4 linked regions of the Macaca fascicularis genome follow. The protein of the gene in region 4 interacts with the protein of the main gene of each other region in a pairwise test. Links are inferred from orthologs where the notes say so. Each region holds a gene or a part of one and is shown on either strand. Other genes may lie near its edges. The genes, in order: GARIN6, TBC1D25, FAM114A1 and RAB2A.

The links.
Region 1: the proteins of RAB2A (region 4) and GARIN6 interact in binary tests that used the Homo sapiens proteins (3 or more experiments, as listed by UniProt). The two-hybrid records come from large-scale screens. The link is inferred for Macaca fascicularis from reciprocal best matches to the Homo sapiens genes RAB2A and GARIN6.
Region 2: the proteins of RAB2A (region 4) and TBC1D25 interact in binary tests that used the Homo sapiens proteins (3 or more experiments, as listed by UniProt). The link is inferred for Macaca fascicularis from reciprocal best matches to the Homo sapiens genes RAB2A and TBC1D25.
Region 3: the proteins of RAB2A (region 4) and FAM114A1 interact in binary tests that used the Homo sapiens proteins (3 or more experiments, as listed by UniProt). The two-hybrid records come from large-scale screens. The link is inferred for Macaca fascicularis from reciprocal best matches to the Homo sapiens genes RAB2A and FAM114A1.

The regions. Positions count from the first base shown.
Region 1 is NC_088385.1:106,654,372-106,660,349, forward strand, and holds GARIN6 (Golgi-associated RAB2 interactor protein 6), read left to right. Parts: upstream 1-2,354; 5' UTR 2,355-2,771; coding exon 2,772-3,386; intron 3,387-3,885; coding exon 3,886-3,996; 3' UTR 3,997-4,645; downstream 4,646-5,978.
Region 2 is NC_088395.1:48,685,714-48,691,806, forward strand, and holds the start of TBC1D25 (TBC1 domain family member 25), read left to right. Parts: upstream 1-2,108; 5' UTR 2,109-2,225; coding exon 2,226-2,348; intron 2,349-3,754; coding exon 3,755-3,864; intron 3,865-3,876; coding exon of another isoform or gene 3,877-3,934; intron 3,935-5,834; coding exon 5,835-5,927; intron 5,928-6,093. UniProt on the Homo sapiens protein: Acts as a GTPase-activating protein specific for RAB33B. Involved in the regulation of autophagosome maturation, the process in which autophagosomes fuse with endosomes and lysosomes.
Region 3 is NC_088379.1:38,160,058-38,166,180, forward strand, and holds the start of FAM114A1 (protein NOXP20), read left to right. Parts: upstream 1-2,077; 5' UTR 2,078-2,134; intron 2,135-6,123. UniProt on the Homo sapiens protein: May play a role in neuronal cell development.
Region 4 is NC_088382.1:70,468,346-70,474,452, forward strand, and holds the start of RAB2A (ras-related protein Rab-2A), read left to right. Parts: upstream 1-2,189; 5' UTR 2,190-2,411; coding exon 2,412-2,457; intron 2,458-6,107.

The sequences.
Region 1 (5,978 bases), on a different chromosome or scaffold from region 4:
CAGGTAGTTTTTTATTTAGCTATCTGAGCTTCTCAAGTCTTGAGGCAAATGCTAAAAAGGTGGTTTTCTAAACAGCTAGAGGAATTTCAGACAAACCCCATCAAATTCATTAAAATAGATATTTGCCAGAATGCTACATAGGATGGTTATCAAGCCAAATGAAAGAGGTTCCACTGTTGTCAGTCTACTGACTGGTGTGGAAAATCCAAACGTCTATAGGCTCTACAAGTAATGTAGTTTCTGGCTTCCTTGGAGACCAGTGCTCTAATGGAACCCTAAGACAAATATCTTGTCATATATGTGTATAGCATGAAAGAGCTTTTTTAAAAATCAGTAAAAAAAAAGCACTTAAGTTAAATTTTGCTGTGTCCAATACTACCTATCCAGTTGTCCCTTACGAAAAACACCAGAACCACTTGGATACTTTTAAAATGTTAATTTACTAAATATGTATTTGGTGGCTTGATTTTTGCCAATTACAAGATAAGTAACATAGACTTGAAGTGGAAGTTAAGATATAAAGACTTTAGGAAGGCCAGTAAAAAGTGCTATTGATATGTGAATAGGCATCTCAATAAATAAAATAAAAATACTCCAAGTATCCAAAATAATCACACATTTCAATAAGAAAGGCAGAAATTATGTTTGCATTGACTTATACAACTAAAGACTCAAGTGGGCTGGGCACGGCGGCTCACACCTGTAATCCCAGCACTTTGGGAGGCCGAGGTGGGCGAATCACGAGGTCAGGAGTTTAAGACCAGCCTGGGCCTTTGGGAGGCCGAGACGGGCGAATCACGAGTTCAGGAGATCGAGACCATCCTGGCTAACACGGTGAAACCCCGTCTCTACTAAAATACAAAAAAAATTAGCCGGGCGAGGTGGCGGGCGCCTGTACTCCCAGCTACTCGGGAGGCTGAGGCAGGAGAATGGCGTGAACCCGGGAGGCGGGGCTTGCAGTGAGCTGAGATCCGGCCACTGCACTCCAGCCTGGGCAACAGAGCCAGACTCCGTCTCAAAAAAAAAAAAAAAAAAAAAAAAAGACCAGCCTGGGCAATATGGTAAAACCCAATATGGTAAAACCCTGTCTCTACTAAAAATACAAATTAGCCTGGCATGGTGGCATGTGCCTGTAGTCCCAGTTACTCAGAAGGTTGAGGCAGGAGAATCACTTGAACCCAGGAGGCAGAGATTGCAGTGAGCCAAGATCTCGCCACTAACTCTAGTCTGGGTGGCAGAGTAAGACTCCATCTCAAAAAAAAAAAAAGACTCAACTATGGCTATGGCTGTGTGTGTGTATATGTGTGTGTGTGTGTGTGTGTGTGTGTGTATGTTCATATGGGTTATTATGTGGATTGTTTTCAATAAAGATATTATAATCTTATTAAATTGATAATATTTATAATACCTGGCAAAATTCTTTAGAGCTTTTTTTTTCAATACAATCTGATGGTAAAGAATAGAGCATAAATGTGATGTTTAAGGCTCTTTTCACTCCATAGCCAGGGTACAAATGTCTAGGTAAAAGCTTAAAAATTGCATCAACAGTTTGAGGGTGAGTCAAAACATAAAATTTATCATGGCTGTAGAAACAGAAAAAAAAAATTGCTAATAAAATAGCTTTTTACCTGGTAACAGAAATAAACTTCCCAATAAAAATAGAAATTATAAAGAAAATGAAAGTTACACCTAAGAACTTTAAACATTTCACTGAACATAATTCCATACCCACAAACACATACACATGGTCTTACATAAATTGAATCTCACCTATACTATGAGTTTGAAATCAGTTTTTCTCTTTTTCTTTAAGAAAAAAAAAAAGGTTAGGGATATCTTTTCATGTCAATAAATAGGAAAACCACATAATCATTTTTAGGGCTGTAGACTGTCCCATCACAGAAGGCTCCATAATTTATTTAAGCAATCCCCTATTGTAAGACACTAATGCTGTTTACAATTTTTTACTCTACAATAAACATTGATAAACATCCTGTACTAACGTGTTTACCAATGTATTCAATTCTCTCTTTAAAATAAATGTCTACGACTAGAGGAGCTGGATAAAAGAGTTGACAGAGAATGTATATTAAAGTCTTGCTTCTCACAGAAAATTTACCTCTAATCTTTTTGAAAGCAAATTGCCAGAATGCATTAAGGTCCCCAGATGGGTGGAGGGTCGGGGAGAGTGGTCTGCTGAGCTGTGGAGAGTGGTGGGGCTGAGGGTGGGGTGGAGAGGGTGGTGTCCCTGCCCTGAGGTAGGGGCTGTTGGGTGACAGAAACAAAGGGGTGTGTGATGGGGCAGGTCACAATGGGTAGAGGAGGATAAAAGTGGTCCTGCAGGGTGGTTTAGCAGCAGCGGATGGTTCAGGTTGGGAAGAAGAGCAGTGGGACTGCCAGTTCAGGTTGTGGAATCAAAGAGCAAAGGTTGTTGTGAAGTGGAATATCAGGCTCAAATGGAAGTCCCTCCCAAATGAGCACTGACATCTGTGTGCCTGGATATCCACGAGGGCTCCAACATCTGCGCTCCTGACAGCTCCATGCACTAAACAGGGCACAGTCTGGATCCAGGGGACCAACTGTCTCTGGCATTGAGCAGTTGGCAATCAATACCCCACCCTGTTCTGAGTCATTTGGGGACAAAAAAGAAAGCCTGTAGAACACAACTGCTGGCCCACCTGCCAGAGTGGCCAAGGAAACAGGATGCTCACTAAGGCATGTTAAGGAAGGTGTGGAGCAGCTGCTGGGAACTGTCTTGATAAAAGAAAGACATGGAGGAGCAGTGTATGTTACCGTATTACACTGCCCAAAGCAGCCCCGCAATGGGCATGTTTAATACCTCCATGGGGAAGCTTCAGCGGCAACTGTACAAAGGCGAGTATACTATATTCAGGTATGCACCCATGTTTGAGAGCGACTTTATCCAGATCAGCAAAAGAGGAGAAGTGATGGATGTGCACAACCGTGCCCGAATGGTAACAGTGGGCATTGTTCGCACCAGCCCCTGCCTCACACTACCTGATGTCATGCTGCTGGCCCGACCAGCTGCTGTCTGTGACAACGCCAGGTGTGGTCCTGCCACCCAGAAAACAGATAGTCCGCCTGCAGAGATCTTAGAACTAACCAGACTGCTTCCCTTGATGTTTGTGAAAATAACCATCCACAACAGCATAAAAAAACAGCTCCACCTGAAGCTTGCCACTGGCCGCTCTTTTTATCTTCAGCTGTGTCCCCCCTCAGATGCAAGTGAAGACCTTTTTGTTCACTGGGAAAACCTTGTTTACATCCTGAGACCACCAGTGGAGGCTTACAGTGGTACCAAAGCTATCCTAGCTGGGAGCACATCAGACTCATCTGTGTTTGAGGAAGTGCAGAGAAGCCCAGTGGTGAGTCTATGCAGAGACTAGATGGGGCCAGGATGCTTTTGGGGAGAGCAGGTAAAGGTCCTGTAGAGCCTTTGGTGTTGCAGCTCACCTGGGAAATGCATTGCATTTGGAAGGTCTGAAGGCCAAATGAGCTTCCATTTGGAGGCCATGGCACATTGAGGAGGTTCCTAGTGCTTCTCCAGTGTTCCCCAAACCTGAATTTCAGAGATTTCTTAGCTGTCAGCAACTTTTCATTTTATATTCACAGCTGTTCATTCTATATCCAATGTTGTAATGCTATCCAAAACATCCTGACCAGTCTATTCTGAAACCCATACTATGACCTAGGTAGGCTGATATGTTGTAGGACATGTCTCCCTGCGATTGCCACTTATATACATTGGTGGCAACACAACATGCTTGTGTACATGTGCAATACTTTATTTTTGTTGTTTACCTATAGGAAGAGAAAGGAGATCTTGCTGGTCTCACTTTCTTTGCTTATTTGTTTTCTCCCTAGGGATATGCCATGAAGTTCTGTGAAGAGAAGGAGCAATTCAGAATCAGCAGACTTCACATGAATGCTGAAATGTTTGGGTCCACCTATTATGATTATACAATAGAGATATGAATCCAACATACCTCCCACATATACTACATTCAAGAGTTCACACATTCCTGCAGTCATAAAACCTATAGTGCCTGATAAAGGGGCAGGTTAGCAACAACAGTAGTGATGACAGTAAGCACCACCGCAGGTGCCATGGATGTGGCTGCAACCAAGTCTGCAGGCTCAGAAGAGAAACACAGCACTGGCAAAAGCAGCCTTCAAAGGTCCAGGAGGAAGTATAGCCAGCATGGCTATCGTGGGTGCTTCTATGTCTTAATCTTGTTATAGCAAGGGCTGCATAGACATTCTTGTCCTAAAAGAGTACTTCAAGTACATCAGTAAGTGCTACTGGCCTCTCCCTAGAGAGCAGCATGAATGTGGTGACTACAGGAGCAGAGAGAGACTGTCAATGCAACAGCCTTGTCAGTCTCTCTCTGCTCCTCAAAGACTGACTCTCTGCCACTCAGCATTGGGAGTCAGTATCTCAACTCTGCAGGATGAGGCCACATGAGTGAATGGGATGGAAGTCAGAGGGTCTCTACCTAGCTGGATTGACTCTGCAGTAATAACCTCAAAGTCTGGTACTACACATGGTGCAGAGGTGGACATCTCACCTAAGACTGTGGAGGGGAGGAACATGATTCACCATAATAAAATCCATCAACTCATATTATCTGCTCTAATAACATATGCTCTATTGACAGGAAGGGTAGCAATAAAACTAATAGCAATTTATGATCAGGCTCTGAAAACTATCTTTAACTTTCCCTTAACTTTACATTTTTTATTATAAAAGATAAATAGATGACATAAAATTAATAGATGACAGAATAAAATGTTGAAGATTACTCTCAAAGATATGATCCTACATCAGAAGAATTCTTCTAAAACTATTTTCCAAAATATAAAATGAGAACCCAGAAACACACACACACTCTGTCTCCCTCTCTCTTTCTCTCTCTTGCTCCCGGTTTGAATCATAGCATTGCCACACATTAACTGTGACCTTTAGTAGACTGTTTCTTTAAATGGTCACCTTGAGATTATACATGTATAATATCTGGTACATAGTAGGCACTGTGTAAATGGTGGTGTTGAGAAACAAATTCTGAGTTTAATCATACTTTCCAGAAAGGGCTTAATTTTCCCAGTCTTTTCACTCTTGATTTCCTTTCTTAAATCTTAATTAACTGCTTTGCAATTGTCCCATAAAAGCTCTATTTACAGTAAATCTTCTTAGTATCTTCCCAAGAATTTTAATCCCCTGATATTATTTAGAATTCTAAATTTTCATGAATTTGTACAAACTTCAATCTAGTCACAACAGAAAGACAATTTCAAAGCACTCATCTTTTAGCTGATTCTCTCCAATTTTACTATTCTTGGAGACAGAAAAATAAAAGAACACCTAATATAGGATCAATTCATAATCTGGAAAAAACTGGAAATTAGATAATTTTAGAATTGTAAGATCCACATCCACGGGATTAGCCAATATTCTAATTTTGCAAGTAAAAAATCTGCTTTAGTCTAAAGTAATACCTCATATGGTTTGATAATCCAGAACCAGAATGTATAGGCAACCTGGCCCCCAATTAAGTCTGTATTGTTTCTGTAATACTCATGTTTCTGATGAGCACTATGCTTTGAATATAAAAGATATTTGATACATGTTTGCTGGATCCAATCAAGGGCTATAAATGCGAAATATAATTTATTCCAATCCAACAAATCTGGGGATATAAAATTTTACATAGTACTGTACTAATGGTACAGATCCCAAAGGTTCCTATATATATTGTAAGGAAGCAGTTTACCAGTAGACCCTCACAGCGTTCATGGCTTAATGATTTTTAATGGTCTCCAAAAGTGCTTCAGACCTGAAAAAATGGCTTCAAAATATGAAAAACATTTCACAGGTTAGATGTTCTAGCTTTGTGAATTTCAAGGTTACATTACTGAGAAATCACATCTAATCATAAATCACTTTTCAGCAAATAATG
Region 2 (6,093 bases), on a different chromosome or scaffold from region 4:
TAAGAGCAGGACCAACCTTAACATGTTGTGGGCTTTTTTTTTTTTTTTGAATCAGGGTCTCACTCTGTCACCCAGGCTGGAGTGTAGTGGTGTGATCACAGCTCCATTGCAGCTTGGACCTCCCAGGCTCAAGCAATCCTCTCACCTCAGCCTCCCGAACACTAGGAGCACAGGTACGCACCCACACCCAGCTAATTTTTTTTTTTTTTTTTTTTTTTTAATTTCGTAGGGACAGGGTCTTCCTGTGTTGCCCAGGCTGGTCTCGAACTCCCCGGCTCGAGCAATCCTCCCACCTCGGCTTCCCAAAATGCTGAGATTACAAGTGTGAGCCACTGTGCCTGACTCAGTTTATTTTTAAAATTTTTTCTTCATTTATTATTGGCTTCTTGCATTCATTGTTTTGAGCACTAACTATGTGCTCAGCACATTGCTAAGCCTTTTGCATGCTCTGCTGGGCATTCCCCATTTGCTCTTCCAGATCCGTTATCCACCCTGCTCTGGGACCCCAGAAAGCTGATCTTTTACAGATGGTATCATTTGGGCTCCATTGGTTGGTTTGTAGTTGAGCCTGGCCACTTCTCTTTCAATGCGTCCCTGGCAGTCAGTACCAACATTTTAGTCAGGTTTCAAATAAATCTCTAGACCAAGCTGGAGAGAGGGCTCTTCCAATGATTCACTGATTCTCCAAGATCTGAGAATGTGAAACTTGGAAAAGGGACATAAAGACCAGGGATCCTTTGAACTGGTTCAATAATGGCAGAGCTTTAGAGATATGCTTCTGAGCTCCCTGGGTCTGTCTCGCTTTCTGCCTTCTGAAGTCTTGATTGTTAACTTCTTCCTGGGTTTCAGTTAGAAGCATTAGTGTCAACTGGAGTTGAATTACCTGGAAGTTTGCCTCCTAGTTGTATAAACTTGGGAAAATATGATCTCGTCAAGTTTCAGACAAAGGCAAACCAAAGCTAGAACTCCAAAGAGCATAAAAGTTTTTTTGGGGGGTAAATTATTTAATGAAGTGTAACATTCATACAGGAAGTACAAAAATCATCAGTGTACAAAATCTCTATGAATTTTCACAATGTGTAAACCATTTTCCTGTTTTTTGTCTGACCTTACTAAGTCAGGGTGTAAATTATTAATTTTTGTTTGAGACAGGGCTTTGCCCTGTGGTGCAGGTTAGGGCAGTGGTGTGAGCAGGGCTCACTGCAGCCTTGACTTCCTGGGCTCAGCTATCCTGCTGCTTCAGCCTCCCGAGTAGCTGGGACTGCAGGTGTGCGCCACCACGTCCAGCTAATTGTTTAATTTTTTGTTAAGAGACAGAGTCTCGCTGTCTAGAACTCCTGGGCTCAAGAGATCTGCCCGCCTCGGCCTCCCAAAGTGCTGAGACGTGAGCCACTGCACCCTGCTGAGTATATTTTTTAAAACACTTTAACTAGGGGCTATGGCTCACACCTGTAATCCCAACACTTTGGGAGGTCAAGATGGGCGGATCACCTGAGGTCAGGAGTTCGAGACTAGCCTGGGCAACAAGACTAAACCCTCTCTCTACAAGATACACAAAAATTGGCTGTGTGTGGTAGCGCGCTCCTGTAGTCCCAGCTCTCGGGAGGCTAAGGCAGGAGGATAGCTTGATCATAGCTCACTTTGAGGCTGCAGTGAGCTGTGATCGCGCCATTGCACTACAGCCTAGGTGACAGAGCGAGACCCTGCCTTAAAAAAAAAAAGGATTTCTTTCCCGTTCAGTGGATTCATTTGAAGCGAGGGCCAATTTGAAATAGATGACATCATCTGTTAGCAGAGGCGTGAGGCAACTTGAGGCGGGGTATGGGGCCTGACGTCATCACGCAGCCCCTTCCTTTCCCCGCCCACTTCTCTTGGCGAACGAGGTGTCAGTATAACACCTCTATGAATCCGGAAGTAGGCTGTCAAAACAACCAAACCACGGGGCTGGGGGAGGCGGGGCCTCAGTAGGCGTCCTCACGCTAGCTGAAATAAAGCAAAATGCCCGACTTTTGGGGGCGGGGCTCCTGGCAACAGCATCTAGGCGCAGGCGCAGAGGCGACCTCCAGGCAGGGCCAGGTGGGAGGGACGGTGGGGGGGTAGGGTCGCGCAGAGCCCTCTGCGCCTGCGCCCCGGCACGAGGTGGGGCGGCGGGCGTCAGTACAGTAGAGTGTGCGCCGGGTTGGGGGGCAACGGTCAACCGTCACCCTGAGACGGGCGGCGGCGGGATGGCGACAGCCTCCGGGGCTTCGGATTTGTCTGGCTCCGGAGCGCCCCCGCCCGGCGTGGGAGCTCAGGCGGCGGCGGCCGCTGAGGAGGAGGAGCGAGAGGTGGTGCGGGTCCGAGTCAAGGTGAGGCTGGCGGGTGAGTCGGCCCAGGCGCCGAGGCATCCCAGGGGAGGGGGAGGCGGTGGCTGTCGTAGGATGGAGAGCGGGACCTGAGATTTGGGACAAAACCTGAGCGGCGAAGCTTGAGGGCCAAGTGATGGTGGCGAGGGGGAGGGAGGGCCTGAGAGCTTGGGAGCGTTAGCGACGTACCTTGGGGCGTGGGACTGAAAATGGAGAGACGGGGGTCTATGGGATAAATGGGTGGAGCTTATAGACAAAGGGGAGGGGCTACGGGCTGGAGGAGGGGCCGCAGTAGTTGAGGGTGGGGCTCTGAGGAATGAGAAGGTGCTGGCTCTGGAGTCAGTCAACCCGTATGTGTCGAGAGTGCACTCATGTGCAAGTTCCCACTTTGATGAACTGACAGGCTCGTGGGTGGAGACAACTAAAGAAATGAGATGCTTCGGACACTCAAATAATGAAAAAGGTTATGCAACAGGGAGTCACTTTAGCCAAGGTTGTACAGGGAAATCCCCAGAGGAGGTACTGAAGGAGCAGAGACCCGAATAAAAGGAGTTAGCCATGTGCATATTAGAAGGGAAGAGTATTCTAGGCAGAAGGAATAGCAAGGGCAAAGGCTAGAGGATGGGAATGGGCCTGGCATGTTCCCGTAGGTTCCTGATTGCTGGAGTGGAGAGAATGAGGGGAAGAGTGGTAGGAGGTGAATCAGAGTGCTAAGACAGAGGCAGATCGCCAAGGGCCTTTGGTGTATATGCTGAGGAAGAACGCTGTTGCCATAGTTCCGTAAACAATGATGGTGGCTCCAACCAACCAGTGGCACTGGCAGTGATAAGAGGGTCCACACATCACTTCAGTGTAATAAAGCTCTAAGGTAGAAGTTTGACATTCAGAAAAAAAGATGCCTGAGCTGGGAGTGAACCACGTGAAGAAAGTGGGAGGGATGTTCCAGACAGGGGATCAGCACAATCAATGGCCTGGAGTCAGGATGGTTTCAAGGTAACTTCTAACAGTTTGGTACTACCAGAGTATAAAGTTCAAAAAACCTGGTGAGAGGCTGGCTGGGGCCCCATAGGCCCGCTTGCTGGGACTCTAGGGTTGCCATTGAAGAGATTTAAGCAGGAGAGTGTTGTAGGTAGATGTGCTAGATTGGTTACAGCATCATAGAGGACTGATTTAACAGGAGCCAGACTGGATATGGTGATTCTGGCAACCACAGTTGAAGGGATATAGAAGAAGGATTGGGGGCCTGAACCCTTGCAGTAGCCGCCTCCTCACTGGACCCTATGGTCCAGAACACCTGCCTTGATCTGGCCCCTGGCACCTCTCTGACTTTGCCTTCTACCACTCTGCACCTCACTCTTCAGCATGGTGATGAGGCCCCTGGTGGCCTACCCCATGTCTTCTCTCCCCAGAAATGTGAGAGCTTCTTACCGCCAGAGTTCCGCTCTTTTGCTGTAGATCCCCAGATCACCTCGCTTGACGTGTTGCAGCACATCCTCATCCGAGCCTTTGATTTGAGTGGGTGAGTGGGAAGATGCTGGGGACTGGCCAGTGGGCCACCCACCTCTACAGTGGTTATCTAGCCTTTGTTTGTTTGGTAGGGTTTGTGTTTATTTTACTACTACAAATAATCCCACAGTGAACAGCCACATATGCATGTCTTGGAGTACAGCAGTCTACTTTTATCTGTGGTTTTGCTTTCTGCAGTTTCAGTTACCCATGGTCAACCTCAGTCTGCAAATATTACATACAATAAGTTATTTTGAGAGAGAGAGAGACCACATTCACATTACTTTTATTACAGTTTACAGATAGTCCCCAACTTACAATAACTGGACTTAGGATTTTTCAACTTTACAATGGTGCAAAAGCGATACGCATTTGGTAGAGACTGTACTGCAAGCCATTCTGCTTTTCACTTTCAGTACAGTGTTCAATAAATTACGTGAAATATTCAACACTATTATAAAGTAGGCTCTGTGTTAGATGAGTTTGCCCAACTGTAGGCTAATGTGAGTGTTCTGAGCACGTTTAACGAAGGCTAGGCTAACCTGTGATGTTTGGTAGGTTAGGTGTGTTAAATGCATTTTTCTTTTTTTTTTCTTTTCTTTTCTTTTTTTTTTTTTTTTTGAGACAGAGTCTCACTATCACCCAGGCTGGAGTGCAGTGACATCTCCCGGGTTCAAGTGATTCTCCTGTCGCAGCCTCTCAAGTAGCTGGGACTACAGGCGTGCACCACTATGCCGGGATAACGGTTTTTTTTTTAGACGAAGTTTTGCTCTTATCCCCTGGACTGCAGTGCAATGGCGCAGTCTCGGCTCACTGCAGCCTCCACTTCCTGGGTTCAAGTGATTATCCTGCCTCAGCCTCCCAAGTAGCTGGGATTACAGGCACGCACCACCATGCCTGGCTAATTTTTGTATTTTTAGTAGAGACAAGGTTTCACCATGTTGGTCAGGCTAGTCTCGAACACCTGACCTCAAGTTTTCTGTCCGCCTCGGCCTCCCAAAGTGCTAGGATTACAGGTGTGAGCCACCACTCCCAGCCCCGGATAGTTTTTTGATCTTCTCTTTTTTTTTTGAGACAGAGTCTCACTCTGTCACCCAGGTTGGAGTGCAGTGCCCAATCTTGGCTTACTGCAGCCTCTGCCTCCCAGGTTCAAGCGATTCTCATGCCTCAGCCTCCCGAGTAGCTGGGATTACAGGTGTGTGCCACCACACTCAGCTAATTTTCATCATATTGGTCAGACTGGTCTCGAACTCCTGACCTCAAGGGATCTGCCCAGCTCGGCCTCCCAAAGTGTTGGGATTACAGGCGCATGAGCCTCTGCACCCGGCCAATTTTTGTATATTTAGTAGAGACAGGGTTTCGCCATGTTGCCTAGGGCAGTCTCAAACTCCTGAGCTCAAGCAATCTGCCCGTCTCAGCCTCCCAAAGTGCTGGGATTACAGGTGAGGCACTGCGCCCAGCCAAATGCATGGTCAACTTACAGTATTTCCAACTTATGAACTTATGATGAGTTTATTGGTACATAATCCTGTCATAGTCAAGAAGCATCTGTATTGTCATAATTGTTCTATTATTGTTCATCTCTTACTGTGCCTAATTTATCAATTAAACTTTTTCATAGGTATGTATGTATATGAAAAAAAAAAAACATAGTATATGTAGGTCTTGGTACTATCTGCAGTTTCAGGCATCCACTGGGGGGTCTTGGAATATATCCCCTGTAGATAAAGAGGGAGTAATGTATTTGGAAACATCCAGTCATGGGATAAATTCCTAGCAGTGGTATTGTCAGGAAAAAGGGTATTTGCATTTTAATTTTTTTTTTTTTTTTTTTAGTCAGAGTCTCACTCTGTCGCCCAGGCTGGAGTGCAGTGGTGCGATCTCAGCTCATTGCAACCTCCACCTCCTGGGTTCAAGCGATTCTCCTGCCTCAGCCTCCTGAGTAGCGCCACCATGCCTGGCTAATTTTTGTGTTTTTAATAGAGATGGGGTTTCACCGTGTTGGGCAGGATCATCTCCATCTCCTGACCTTGTGATCCACCCGCCTCGGCCTCCCAAAGTGCTGGAATTACAGGCGTGAGTCACCGTGCCTGGCCTGCTTTTTAAACTTTTAATGGGTGTTTCCAAAATGCTCTCCAGACAGGTTTTATCAGTTTATGATCTCATCAGCACCACATAAATGCCTGTTTCCCTCACACCCTCACAAACACTGGTTACTGTATAACTGCAAAATTTGCTAATC
Region 3 (6,123 bases), on a different chromosome or scaffold from region 4:
GAAAAACTGAGTTACAGAAGCCAAGTGTTAACGTTCAAAGTCTTGCTCAATTCAAAAAGGCTATTGATCTCAATTTAAAGCAGTTTCCACCCACTCTCACATTAAGACAACTTTCTAGTTTTTCTGTGAATTTAAAAATAACAGGCTGGGCATGGTGGCTCACGGCTGTAATCCCAACACTTTGGGAGGCCGAGGTGGGCAGATCACTTGAGGTCAGGAGCTCGAGACCAGCCTTGCCAACATGGCAAAACCCAGTCTCTACTGAAAACACGAAAATTAGCCAGGCATGGTGGCAGGTGCCTGTAATCTCAGCTACTCGGGAGGCAGAAGAATCGCTTGAACCCGGGAGATGGAGATGGTGCCTCTGAAGTGCAGCCTAGGCCACAAATCAAGACTCTGTCACCCTAAAAAACATAATAAAATAAATATTCAGTAGCTTAAAAAATTATTAATATGAAAATATTTAATGAAAAATTAAAGAAAAAATATAATTGGGCGCGGTGGCTCATGCCTGTAATCCCAGCACTTTGGGAGGCTGAGGTGGGTGGATCACCTGAGGTTAGGAGTTCGAGACCAGCCTGGCCAACATGGTGAAACTCCGTTTCTACTAAAAAATACAAAAATTAGCCGGGTGTGGTGGCACGCACCTGTAATCCCAGCAACTTGGGAGGCTGAGGCAGAAGAATTGCTTGAACCCGGGAGGCAGAGGCTGCAGTGAGCTGATATCATGTCACTGCATTCCCGCCTGGATGACAGAGCAAGATTCCGTCTCAAAAAAAATAAAGTAATAAATTAATTAATGTATATGGAAGAAACTGGAATATAAGTAACAACCTAATTGTCTGTCAAAAAGAGAATGATTGAATGAAATATAGTTACAAACATATAACAATATGTAAGACAAATCTTAGAAGAGTGGTTTTGGTTGATATGTATTGACCAAGAAAGATGATTATAATATGTAATAGGGGAAAATTTACAAAATATGTCAACATCTCACCATTTTTATAAAAAAGCAAACAAAAAGCTGTTTATGCACACTTGTGTTTATATACGCTTAGAAAAGCTATGGTAGGATCCACACACTATAAGAAATGGTAGTGATATTGAAGAAGAGAGGGTGAGGCTATATTTTCTTTAACTTTGAATTTATAATTTTTTAAAAATAAGAGGGTATGGAGTGGGAGAAAGAAGAGAAAATCTGCCTTAAACACATCGCTCACAAAGAATCACTGTTTTTAAATTGTCTTTCCCCTGACTTTTATATAAAACACAAAATTGTTTACAAAACTAGTTAATACTGTAAACACTGCACTTCCTCTGCATCTGAGTTCATATTAAGCCATATTTGAGGAAGGCCTTACTATGTGGCCTTCCTTCCATGTCAACGAATTCTCATTTTTAAGGGCTACAACATATTCGATGTCTGAAGCTACTGTAGCTTACTTCACCAGTCTTACTGGGGGACATTTAGATTGTCTCCAGCTTCCCCCCACAGAAGCAACTACAATAAACATCCTTGTACATACATGTTTGCCCATTTGACTGCCTACTTAGGACAAATTAGCAAATGTGGAATTCCTAGGCCAAAGCTAATACATCGGAATTTTGACCCACAGCTCCAAACTGGCCTTCTGGAAAGTGGGTTTTCGCTGTTTGTTTGGGGTTTGTTTGTTTTAAATCTATCACACTCCCACGGACAGGGCAAGGGAGTGCTGCTTAACGCAGAATCAGGAGCTCAAACTTTATCTGAACTTGCGCGACCTCTTCCCAGTGACACGGCGGGGGTTTTCCAAGCGCTTTTAAGGAAAGGGATCTGGCGAACCCCAAGACTCACCCGCCCTCGGTTGGACAGGGGGCGCGCTCTGGTTCTCTGGGCTGGCACAGGGGTGGGACAAACCAAGTTTCCAGGAGGCTCGCCCAGCGCGGGCCCTGCCCCTCGCAGCGTGGGGGTGGCCGGGCGTCCCCGCGGCGCTCCCCGTGGGGCGGGGCGCAGGCGGGGCGGGGCCCCCTCTCCAGCCGCCCGCCCCCTGCCCGCTCCCCGCCCGCCCTCCGGCCGCGTCCCCGCCGGCCCTGCAGACGTGGCGGGGCGGGACCCACCGGGCACTCCCGCGCGTACTCGGCCGCCTGAGCGGTAAGAGCCCCGGGCAACCTGTCCCCATCCCCTTCCCCGGGGGGCGGGCGAGCGCGGGGGCGGCCGCCCCGGGGTGGTGGGAACACCATACTGTGGCGCCTCGTCTGGGACCCACGAATCCTGCCCTCTGCGTTAGTGAGAAGCCGCGGTCAGGGAGGACCTGGCTCTGGGGTGAGGGTCCGGGGTGGCGCGGCCGAGGGCCCTGCGTGGGTGCGGGCGTGTGAGTGTGTGTGTGTGAGTGTGTGTCGCTCCGGGTCCACGCTCATGCACACACCCACACGCCCACACTCAGGGTCTGCCCCCTCGGCCGGCGTGAACCTCCACGGAGCCTGCCTGGATCTCCCAAACTATCCAGTCCTGGCACCAAGCAAGTCTGGAAAAGTGCCTCAGTGGCTCAGGGCCAAGTCAGAGGCGGGCTGCAGGGCCCCCCAGCCCGGGCACGGAGGGAGCAGGTCCCTGTAAGACTGAGGCCTCTTCCCAGGGTGCGCCTGCCCTCGGCCTTGGCACAGGGAGCTCAGGCCTTGACCTCCCCGCTCCCTCGCCTTACCCCTCCTCCAGCAGCCGACCCACGCCCTGCCTGCTCTTCCAGTCCAGCCAACACTCTAAACAGGCACCGCCTCCATTCGCAGCCCCCGGGATGAGTCCCACTCCCTACCCCAGCTCCCCAGGCCCCCTCCAACCAGTCAGCTAGCCCTCGCCCCTGCCATCCGGTGAGTATTTCCAGGCACCTCAGACCAGGCGCCTCAATGTCACTGCCCTTTCCTAAGTAGGAAGACATCTATCCACGGGCTGAGAGCATTAGCTATGCCCTGCTGACCCCATCCGTTCCCGTCCTAAACATCTTGAAGGACACAAGCAGGTGGCTTTTTAAATCAGTGTCCTCTGAACTCCCTGTGACCTCAGCCAACCTGTGACAACTGAGAATGAGACAGCCTCTATCCTCGGAGCCTCTTTTGCCCTCTCTGCAGCCCAGTGGCTGCTTCTCTACCTCACTCCTATGCCTGTGTCCCCTCCCTCCGTTCTTCCATCAAGCCTGAGCTTGGGAAATAATCTGATAAACTTCTTACATTGTAACCTTTAAGTGAAGGAATGAGACTTTAGGGATGGATTTGAGGCACAAGTGAGCCAATGCAGAAGGAATTTGAGGGTGGGAGGGGGCCTTCTTGAATCTGAGCGATTCAGACCATAAAAGTAAACTTGTCTTTCTTTATTTGACCAGGCTTATCTCAAACTTGGTTTCTCTTTTATTAATATCGAACACAATATATTTCAATCCAGTAAATATCTGAGGGACAGAAACGAACCTAGATGCTGTTGGTCATAGTCTTGGAGGACAGAATGGCAGAAGTAAATACTCCATAAATACATGCAATAGAAATCTGTGCAAAGTGCCAAAAACGTAGAAGAGGGAGCAGTTATTTCACTGGAAGGAGTGGGGCAGATTAAGGAAAAATTCACAATGAAAGAGAACATTAGACATTGGGTATCTAGAGGAATAGGAGTTTGCCAGGCAGCTGGAGGAAGGGCAGCACCAGGGCAGAGGAACCAACATAAGCAAAGGCAGGGAGATGTGAAGAGTTACGGGGAATGGAGAAAAGACTGGTGAGGCAGGAGTGGAGGGCACTGAGAGTTGCAAGAGGTGGAGAGAGATTGGAGCTGGATTATGATGGGAAGTGCGAAGATATTTACACCTAATGGTTTTTAAACAGGGGAGGAAGTAGGTCCAAAAATGCCTGGCAGTCACACAGAGAATAGGCTGAAGCCTGGGTACATAGACTTGTCAAGCCTTATACAAACTCACACAAACTGTTACAACCTGATTAAGAGCCTCTCATACAGAGATTTTATTCCTGGTCCTTCGCTGACCAACACTTTTTTTTTTTTTAAACTGGGGGAGATGACCTCACACAGGATATCATGCTAACCAAATTTTTATGCTGCCAACTGAGGCCATTTTTTTAAAAAAATCCATCTACTGTCACTACTATTTCATAAAATGAAAGGCATTTCAATACCAAGAAAAAGCACAAAGGCTAAACTTGCAAGATGAAGGCAGTCTTTTACATTTAATAAATTTAGATTTATGAAAAACTTGCGATCTTGTCCTCATTTTTCTCTATCATCACAGACTTGCCCCAGTCCTGCAGGTGGGGTTTGGAAAAAAAGCATCCAAATCAGTTTGTCCATCCTAGCTTTACAGAGGAGCAGGTGTAAGCGCAGTGAGGATGAGTAAGTTCTGTGCCCACAAAAGGATGCTGGGACCACAGGCCACATCTCTTAACGCCTGCAGGGCACAACTCTTCCCACCTCTGAATACCATTGCTCTCACCTCTCATTATTCCCCACACAGCCTCGTGTCCTGGCCTCTCAGACACCTGTCCTGAATCGCTAGAGTCCATCCCTAATGCTTGGACATTTGCACATGCTCTCATCCCACCAGGCTTGAATTACCACTTCAAAGACACTTTCAAGGTTCTCCTTTGCACAGGGTCAGTCTAGTTCAGGCACATCTGTCCTTGATTTGCTGTGCTGTTTTGCATCACTTTTTAACTGTTTTGTGTTAACTCCTCAAACAGATGATTCATTTCTGAAGGATAGTGACCATACTTTTTTTATACTTATTTTTCGAGCTGGGATGTTGCTGCTTCAATACCTCGCATAGTACTGGGAGCATTTTCGGTGATGAATGAATTTACTCATGAAAAACTAACTTATTCCCAGCCCACAAAGGCTTCTTTATATGTGACCCTTCCTCTCCTTAGAGTTTCCTGAAGCAGCCTCCTTGTTGCTGTGGGTTGAGTCTCCTTAGCCTCCAGGCCACGAGACATGGCTACAGTGATCAATCTTCCTAACCATAAATCAGGAAAGGTTTCTAAGTCTGGCTTATGGAACACCCAGATGGAGATGGAAAGTGTCCCAGGAAACACAGTGCTTGTCACGACTGTAATCCTGGTGGACTCCAGCAGCCCCTGCTCAGAAACAGTTGTGTATTTCAAACACGCAGTTTCTAGTGGTTTCATACAAAAGGGTACAGACTGAAAAATGATTACATTTCCCCCATCATGATAGCATCCACAGTCGATAAAGGTCTACCAGAACAACCAAACAAAAAATGAGAAATTGAAATAGGGCTGATCTTGCATGACCCTTTCTTTTTTTTTTTTTTTTTTTACAATTAGAAATTGAATTAGGGCTTTTTTTTTTTTTTTTTTTTTTGAGTCGGGGTCTTACTGTGTCACCCAGGCTGGAGTGCAGTGGCACGATCTTGGCTCACTGCAGCTTCTGCCCCCCAGGTTCAAGCAATTCTTATGCCTCAGCCTGCAGAGTAGCTGGGATTACAGGCACATGCCACCATGCCCAGCTAATTTTTTTTGTATTTTTGGTAGAGACAGGATTTCACTCTGCTGGCCAGGCTGGTCTGGAACTCTGGCCTCAAGTGATCCGCTTACCTTGGCCTCCCAAAGTGCTGGGATGTGAGCCACTGTGCCTGACCGATGACCATTTTTAAATTTAACAGATATAAAGATCTAGAATTTCTAAAATTTATAAATTATCCATAAATATTTTAAACAATAATCCATAAATATTTTAAATAATAATCCATAAATATTTTTTAACAATGCCTGTTTAACATCTTACAGCTGAGTTTCTGGGGTATTTCTGAAGGGATGGTTTGTGTTGGTTGAATGTAGAGCAGCCACAGAGAAGAGTTTTATTGCAGCACTTTTTCTACATTTGGGATAAACTGACCTAAGGCAATTTGGCCATCAGACATAGGTAAGGGCTATAGATTTCCTCCTCTGCAACTTCCCTACCAAGAGCTAAATTCCCAGGAATCCAAGTTCACTGATGGAATTCTGCCATAAACCCACACATGTATTAGCAAACAGGCTTAGTTAACCAGTCTGTTCTTATAAGCTCAAGGAAGTCCTAGCTCACTGTCCTTTTAGGCCTGTGTTCTAGAGGCAGGACTCAGCTAAGCTTCTAGT
Region 4 (6,107 bases):
CCAGTTCTGACCCTGTTTCCTGTCACAATTTCCCTTGTGTCTACTGGGTAAAGTTCTAAATGCATGGTGACATAACATACAAGGCCCTGCATAACCTGGCACAAGAGACCTCTCCAGGTACTCTCCTCCTCTAACAATGCAAGAATACTCCTGACTCCTAGGATGCCAGGCATTTGTGTGACATCCTGACAGCGTTGTCCAGTTGAGGCTGTTGGTGAAGGAAGGCCATGTCCCTCTATCTTGTGAGAGTGAAGACTTGAGTTTCTCCTCTATCACCCAGGAAGACGTGGGTGAAGGCACTCAAGTGGGAGGGACAAAATGACATCTGAAACCTGGAGGCCTTGGGCAGGGACCTCCCCTTCCTCAAACTAAAGGTGAATGAACCAAATTTTGCGATTCCAGGTAGCTTTTCATGTCAAATTCTTCCATGCCATCCCTCCTCACCCTTTAGTAAAATGCCTTCCAAATATTCCAGAAAAACCTTGTGAGTTCATATTTGGCAAGGCCAACCAAAGCACACAGCAACTCTCCACATCTACCCAGCATGATGGTGTCAGTACTAATTATATAATGAGAGGCCCCAAAGAGAAGAGTATTAGGCAAAAGGAACCAGGGCCACTAAATCCCAATCACTTTTCCCCAGCAATGATTCTCCTTCCATATGAGGTTATGGGTTATGAGGATATGAGTTAGTCAATTAGATTCCTTCCGCAACTTCAAATTCTCTCAACAGATCCCGGAATTTTGCACATTCTGTTCCTTGTCCATAAACTTTGGTTCCCTTCCCCAAACTGCTGTTCTTTTGAGAAACTCAATACATCATTCATATTCCTGGCTCAGAAATCATAATCTCTAAGTAATCTTTCCTGACACTCTATTCTCCACCTCCTCTTCCATAACCTGTGCTCTTTTTGAACAGAGTGGTGACATTTTGGGCTGGATGATTTAAAAAGGAAAGTAGAAAAACAGAACATAGAAATGCAGGGCCTCTAGTTGCTATGCCTGGCAGTACACGAAACATAGTATTCAATAACTATTACTCGAATGCATAGTCATTTTGTTTTTTCCTTTAACAGTATTTCTTAATAGGTAACTCATGAACACTGCAAAAAGCATCAAACTGCACAAAAAAATTCAGGGAAAAGTACATTTTTCCCCCCAATTCCATTCCCTCCTTTCTCTTAATACCAGTTACCTTTCCTTTCAGATTGATTATGCATATATAGGAATGTAAATGTTTTCCCACTATTTGTTACACATAAAAATTGTATACAATTCATATATTACATATGGTGCATGTTATATACACACACATATACAGACTGTCTCGGTTTTCCTTAACCTAAATCAGGCTTTTTTTTTTTGAGCAGCCCTCAAAACCAGGACAGATCCAGAGGCTTTATTCATTTTTATTTACTATTATTATTTTGAGACAGAGTCCCGCTCTGTAGCCCAGGCTGGAGTGCAGTGGTGCAATCTCGGCTCACTACAACCTCCACCTCCCGGGTTCAAGTGATTCTCCTGCCTCAGGCTCCCGAGTAGCTGGGATTACAGGCGAGCGCCACCACGCCCGGCTAATTTTTGTATTTTTAGAAGAGACGCGGTTTCGCCATGTTGGCCAAGTTGGTCTCGAACTCCTGACCTCAGGAGAGAGCAACGTAGTACTCCACTGTATGCGCATACCATGATTTACTTCGCAGTCCCAGATTTACGGTTTCCCATTTATAAATACTGCCATTTTTCACCTTCAAGCCCCGATGCCAAACACAGAAATAACACCTCACCCCCACCCCCTCGCCGTGTGCCTCCCACATTTTCACACACATTTTCAGCAGCCCAGGGCGGGGCCCTGCACCGAACACCGCCTCTGCCGTCCCCCCACGTGCCCCGCGCCCCCACCGCAGGGCGGAAGGCGACAGAACCTAGCCTCTGCATCCCCACCAGTCCCGTTCCCGGCGTCTCCTGGCCGCCGGGCTCGCCCGCTCAAACGTCGCGGAAAGACCAGAGCCCGGACTCGCCTTGCCTAGGGACAGAGCGGACCGAGTAACTCCTGCTCGGTGCGGGGCGGTGCTGCGGCCGCCGGGGCGCGGCCAGCGTGCGGGGCTCCTCCCCCTTCCTCCGGCGGCGCCGGCGGCCGCAGCACTTCCGGGTCGACGCGGAGGCGGGGCGGAGGTGCCGCGGTGGCTGTTATTGTTCGGCTGGGCTCGGTCGGGCGCTGTCTCCTTCGGCTCTGCGGGTGTCAGTTCGTCCGGCTACCTCACAGCCCCTCACTCCCGGCGGCTGACAGCAGCGGCGGCGGCGGCGGGCGGAGCCTGGCGTTTCGAGGCTGAGCGGCGCCGGGGTTAGGGGCGCGGAGGAGGAGCAGTAGCGGGAGGAGGAGCCGTGTGCCCTGGCACTGAGCGGCCGCGGCCATGGCGTACGCCTATCTCTTCAAGTACATCATAATCGGCGACACAGGTGAGGGCCCCGGGCGCGGTCGGGCGAGTGTCGGCGGCCTCCGGACCCGGACTGAGAGGCAAACGGCGTCTGGCGGTGGCGGGGACGCGGACTCCACCCGGCGCCTCCCTCCCGGCCGCGCCGCTCCATTTCCGCAGTGCTGGAGCTGGTGACGTGGGCACTGCGAGCGGCCGCGGCCTGGCCAGGCCCGGTCTGCGGCCCCCGACCGGGCCAGTCTTGCAGCCGAGGGCCGCGGCAGCCGTTTGCGACACTCGATTCAGGAAGTGTGTGACAGGAGGGGAGGCCTAGCGCAGGGCCGCCGGGGCCCGACTCACATGACTGCACCCCACCCCCAGGGCCCCTCGCGTTAGGTCTCTTCGCGGCCCCAGAAGAAAGAAAAAGGGAATCCTAGGCGAGCAGAAGGTGTTGGGACCCGGGTCTTAGTTCCTGACCAGTAACAACCTTCCTCCACCTGCACGCATCTGTCAAGGCCTGGGCAAGGCGCTTTTTGGTGTGGGACAGACAGCTGAGAAGGAGAAAAGGAAAGCTTTAAAATATATATAATATATACATATATGTGCTTTTTTAACACTTTTAACTCTCAAGGCGGAGTAAGTCACGTCTTATTACTTGACGGCTGAAGAATCCCTTTCGGGGTTAGGAAAGCATGAACGAGTTCTGTGCACTTTTGCCACGTGTGAACTGGGGTTATTTAATAGTAATATAAAGTCGTTCAGTGCTCTGGGTGTGTACTTACGTATGTCTGTTGGGGACGCTGCTGTTTTAGATATGTCAGGTTCGGTGTCAACTGCTAATTTTCAGGTGAGCTCATGCCCATTTGAAGCAGAAAGAAATTCAGTTATTCTCACTTAAAATGACATCCTAGTGTATTCCACAGAAACGTAAACAAACTCTTCGTAAATATTTTTAATACCTGTGATTTGGCATTACTTTGAATCTAATAATAAACATAAAGATTGTTTAGATGTTGCAACTATTAATATACCAGAGTCTGATTTCAGTGGTTACTCTTGCACAACTTTGGAGCCTTTGCACAACTTTGGTAATGTAAGCAGCAGTTTGTAGTTGAACTAATGATGTGGCAGGCTCTATAAGTAACTAAATGAGCATGTTGGCCGGACGCGGTGGCTCACGCCTGTAATCCTAGCACTTTTGGAGGCCGAGGTGGGGGATCACCTGAGGTGAGGTCAGGAGTTCGAGACCTGCTTGGCCAACATGGTGAAACCTCGTCTCTACTAAAAGTACAAAAGTTAGCCGGGCGTGGTGGCGGGCCCCTGTAATACCAGCCACTTGGGAGGCTGAGGCAGGAGGATCACTTGAGCCCGGGAGGTGGAGGTTGCAGTGAGCCGAGATCGCGCCACTGCACTCCAGGCTGGGCGACACAGAGACTCCGTCTCAAAAAAAAAAAAAAGGCATGTTGATTGCTGCCTGAAAGAAAAACTTTATGCTAGATAAATGAGTTTTCAGCAAGGTTTTCTGGTGTGTGTGTGTGTGTGTGTGTGTGTGTGTGTGTGTGTGTGTTGAAATTGGATTTATAAACTTTAAAAGAAAAATGCTGTGGTGTATTTGGATGAAGGAAGGAGAATTCTAAAGCCTTCTGGCAAAATTTGATTTAGTCTGTAAAAACAAGATTGGAGAGGAATGCCACATTAACTGTAATATTACTGGGTTTGAGAAATAGAAGCTTGTGACTATGGCCTTTTGGCTATCTCATTAGTGGTGAAGATTCAAATCAGACTTTGCTGATTGCCATTTTTCAGTTTTTTATTTGAGGCTCTACTGTGGGTAAATAAAGTATTGTGCAGGGAGTAGTGGGGCTACAAATCCTAACAAGTTAATGCTCTGTTCTCTTGGAATTTGCTCTTATCCAAAAGCAGTCCCCACGCAGTTCGAAGGGAAGACACTTCTTTCTTGTCATTGCTGCTGATACGACCTAGTTCAGGAATGGAATTCTTGACACTGTGTTGTCTGCAGCAGTACTTCTCCCCACTCCAGTTCAGCCAGTGTAGTTTACTGTCAGTTTAGTCTTCCTGAAGCATGAATGTCAAAAGGCTACTCCCGTTTGCTCACAATTTTTTGTTTGACCTTCAGTGAACTCTGTATTTTAGCCCCTATCTACATTTCTAGCCTTCTTTCCCACTATTCCCCACCTTGCTTCTGCCATTTGAGACCCCGTGGCTGATTTCGGTGTTTTTTTTCCTGGGCCCTGCTACTCTCTATTCTTAGAGTGCTTTCTGGCACAATCTCTCCCTGTGGAAAATCCATCAGTCCTTCAAAGTCTTATCTGAGTTTTCCAAAATGCCTTCACAGTCAACATATATTAAGCTCTTATTGTGTGAAGATTTTCACAGTATCCTGGCTGAAAAGTGACTACTCCTTTTTTGAATTTATGTTTCTCACTCTGTCATTCTTCTGATATTGATCCCAGACTTTTTTGTTTTATAGATATTTGTATAGGCATCTCTATTATGTAGGCATCATTATATACTTCTTGAAGGCAGAAAAGGTGTTATGTATGGCTCTGTGTTTCTTTCAGGAAGAGCCTAGTGAAAGGTAGGCCCTGTATATTTAATTAATAAGAGAGGAGCCAAACAGGCTGCTATATTCCTGTTTGTATAAATAGCTTAACAGAGATTTTTTGTTGTTGTTGTTGTTTTTACCCAGTTCTGCCACTTTCTTGCTTATTAATTTGGGCAAAATCCTTTATCATATTTTTTGAATTCAGAGGATACCCATAGTTGTAAGATACACTCAGTGTGGCCCTCCCCTAGAAAAGATGGCTTTAAAATCAGTAATGTGAGATCCACCTTGATTTTTTAAAAAGTCAGGGTCAAAAACATGCATCTTAGAATGAAGGAAATCACTTAATTTTTCTGTTTCCCTGTTTCCCTAACCTATAACCTTCTCTCAGTATGTGAGATAAAATGAGGATAAATGTGAAAGTACTTTGATTTCTCAAGGGAAAGGAACAATGCACATTTTTCCTTTACAGAGTTCCCTCCTTAGTAGAAGAGGTTTTAAAAACTTTTACATGATCATGATGATACTATTGAGTTGTTTTCTTACTGTAAGACTAAATGCAGTTAAAATGTAGCTTTAAATTGTTTCCTTGTTCCTGTCTTGTTTCTGAGTCATTTAGTAAAATGTGTCATTTAAATCTAGATGTAAAGTGGAAAGTGGTTTTTAATAAGCCGTTATTTATTTAATAAGCAGTTAATTTTCAAGCATAAAAGGAGAGAAAAAATACAAACCTATAGTAATTTTTGCACCTGAAACTCTAGCATCTGCCTAGCATTTTAACCTTATCAATAACCCTCCCTGCCGCTCAATGCTCAGCAAGGTAAACAAAGGCACAAATTTGGTTGCGTTCTTATTTCTGTTAATATCTGAAGCACCCTTTCTTGTTTTTCCCTATCAAAAAAAGTTATGTCAAAGATTTTTGTCACCTGGCCAACTCCTTTTTATCCATTCTTTTGAGATTTTAACAAATCCTACCACTCCCTGTTGCATTTTATGCTGGTCCCCTCCTCTGTTCCCTCATTCTGTTTCGCCTCTCTTCAGTCCCAGTCCCACTTACATTTTATTTTTTATTTATTTTTCTGTCTTATGTATATACCCACCGCTTACATTTTATTTTATTTTACTTTATA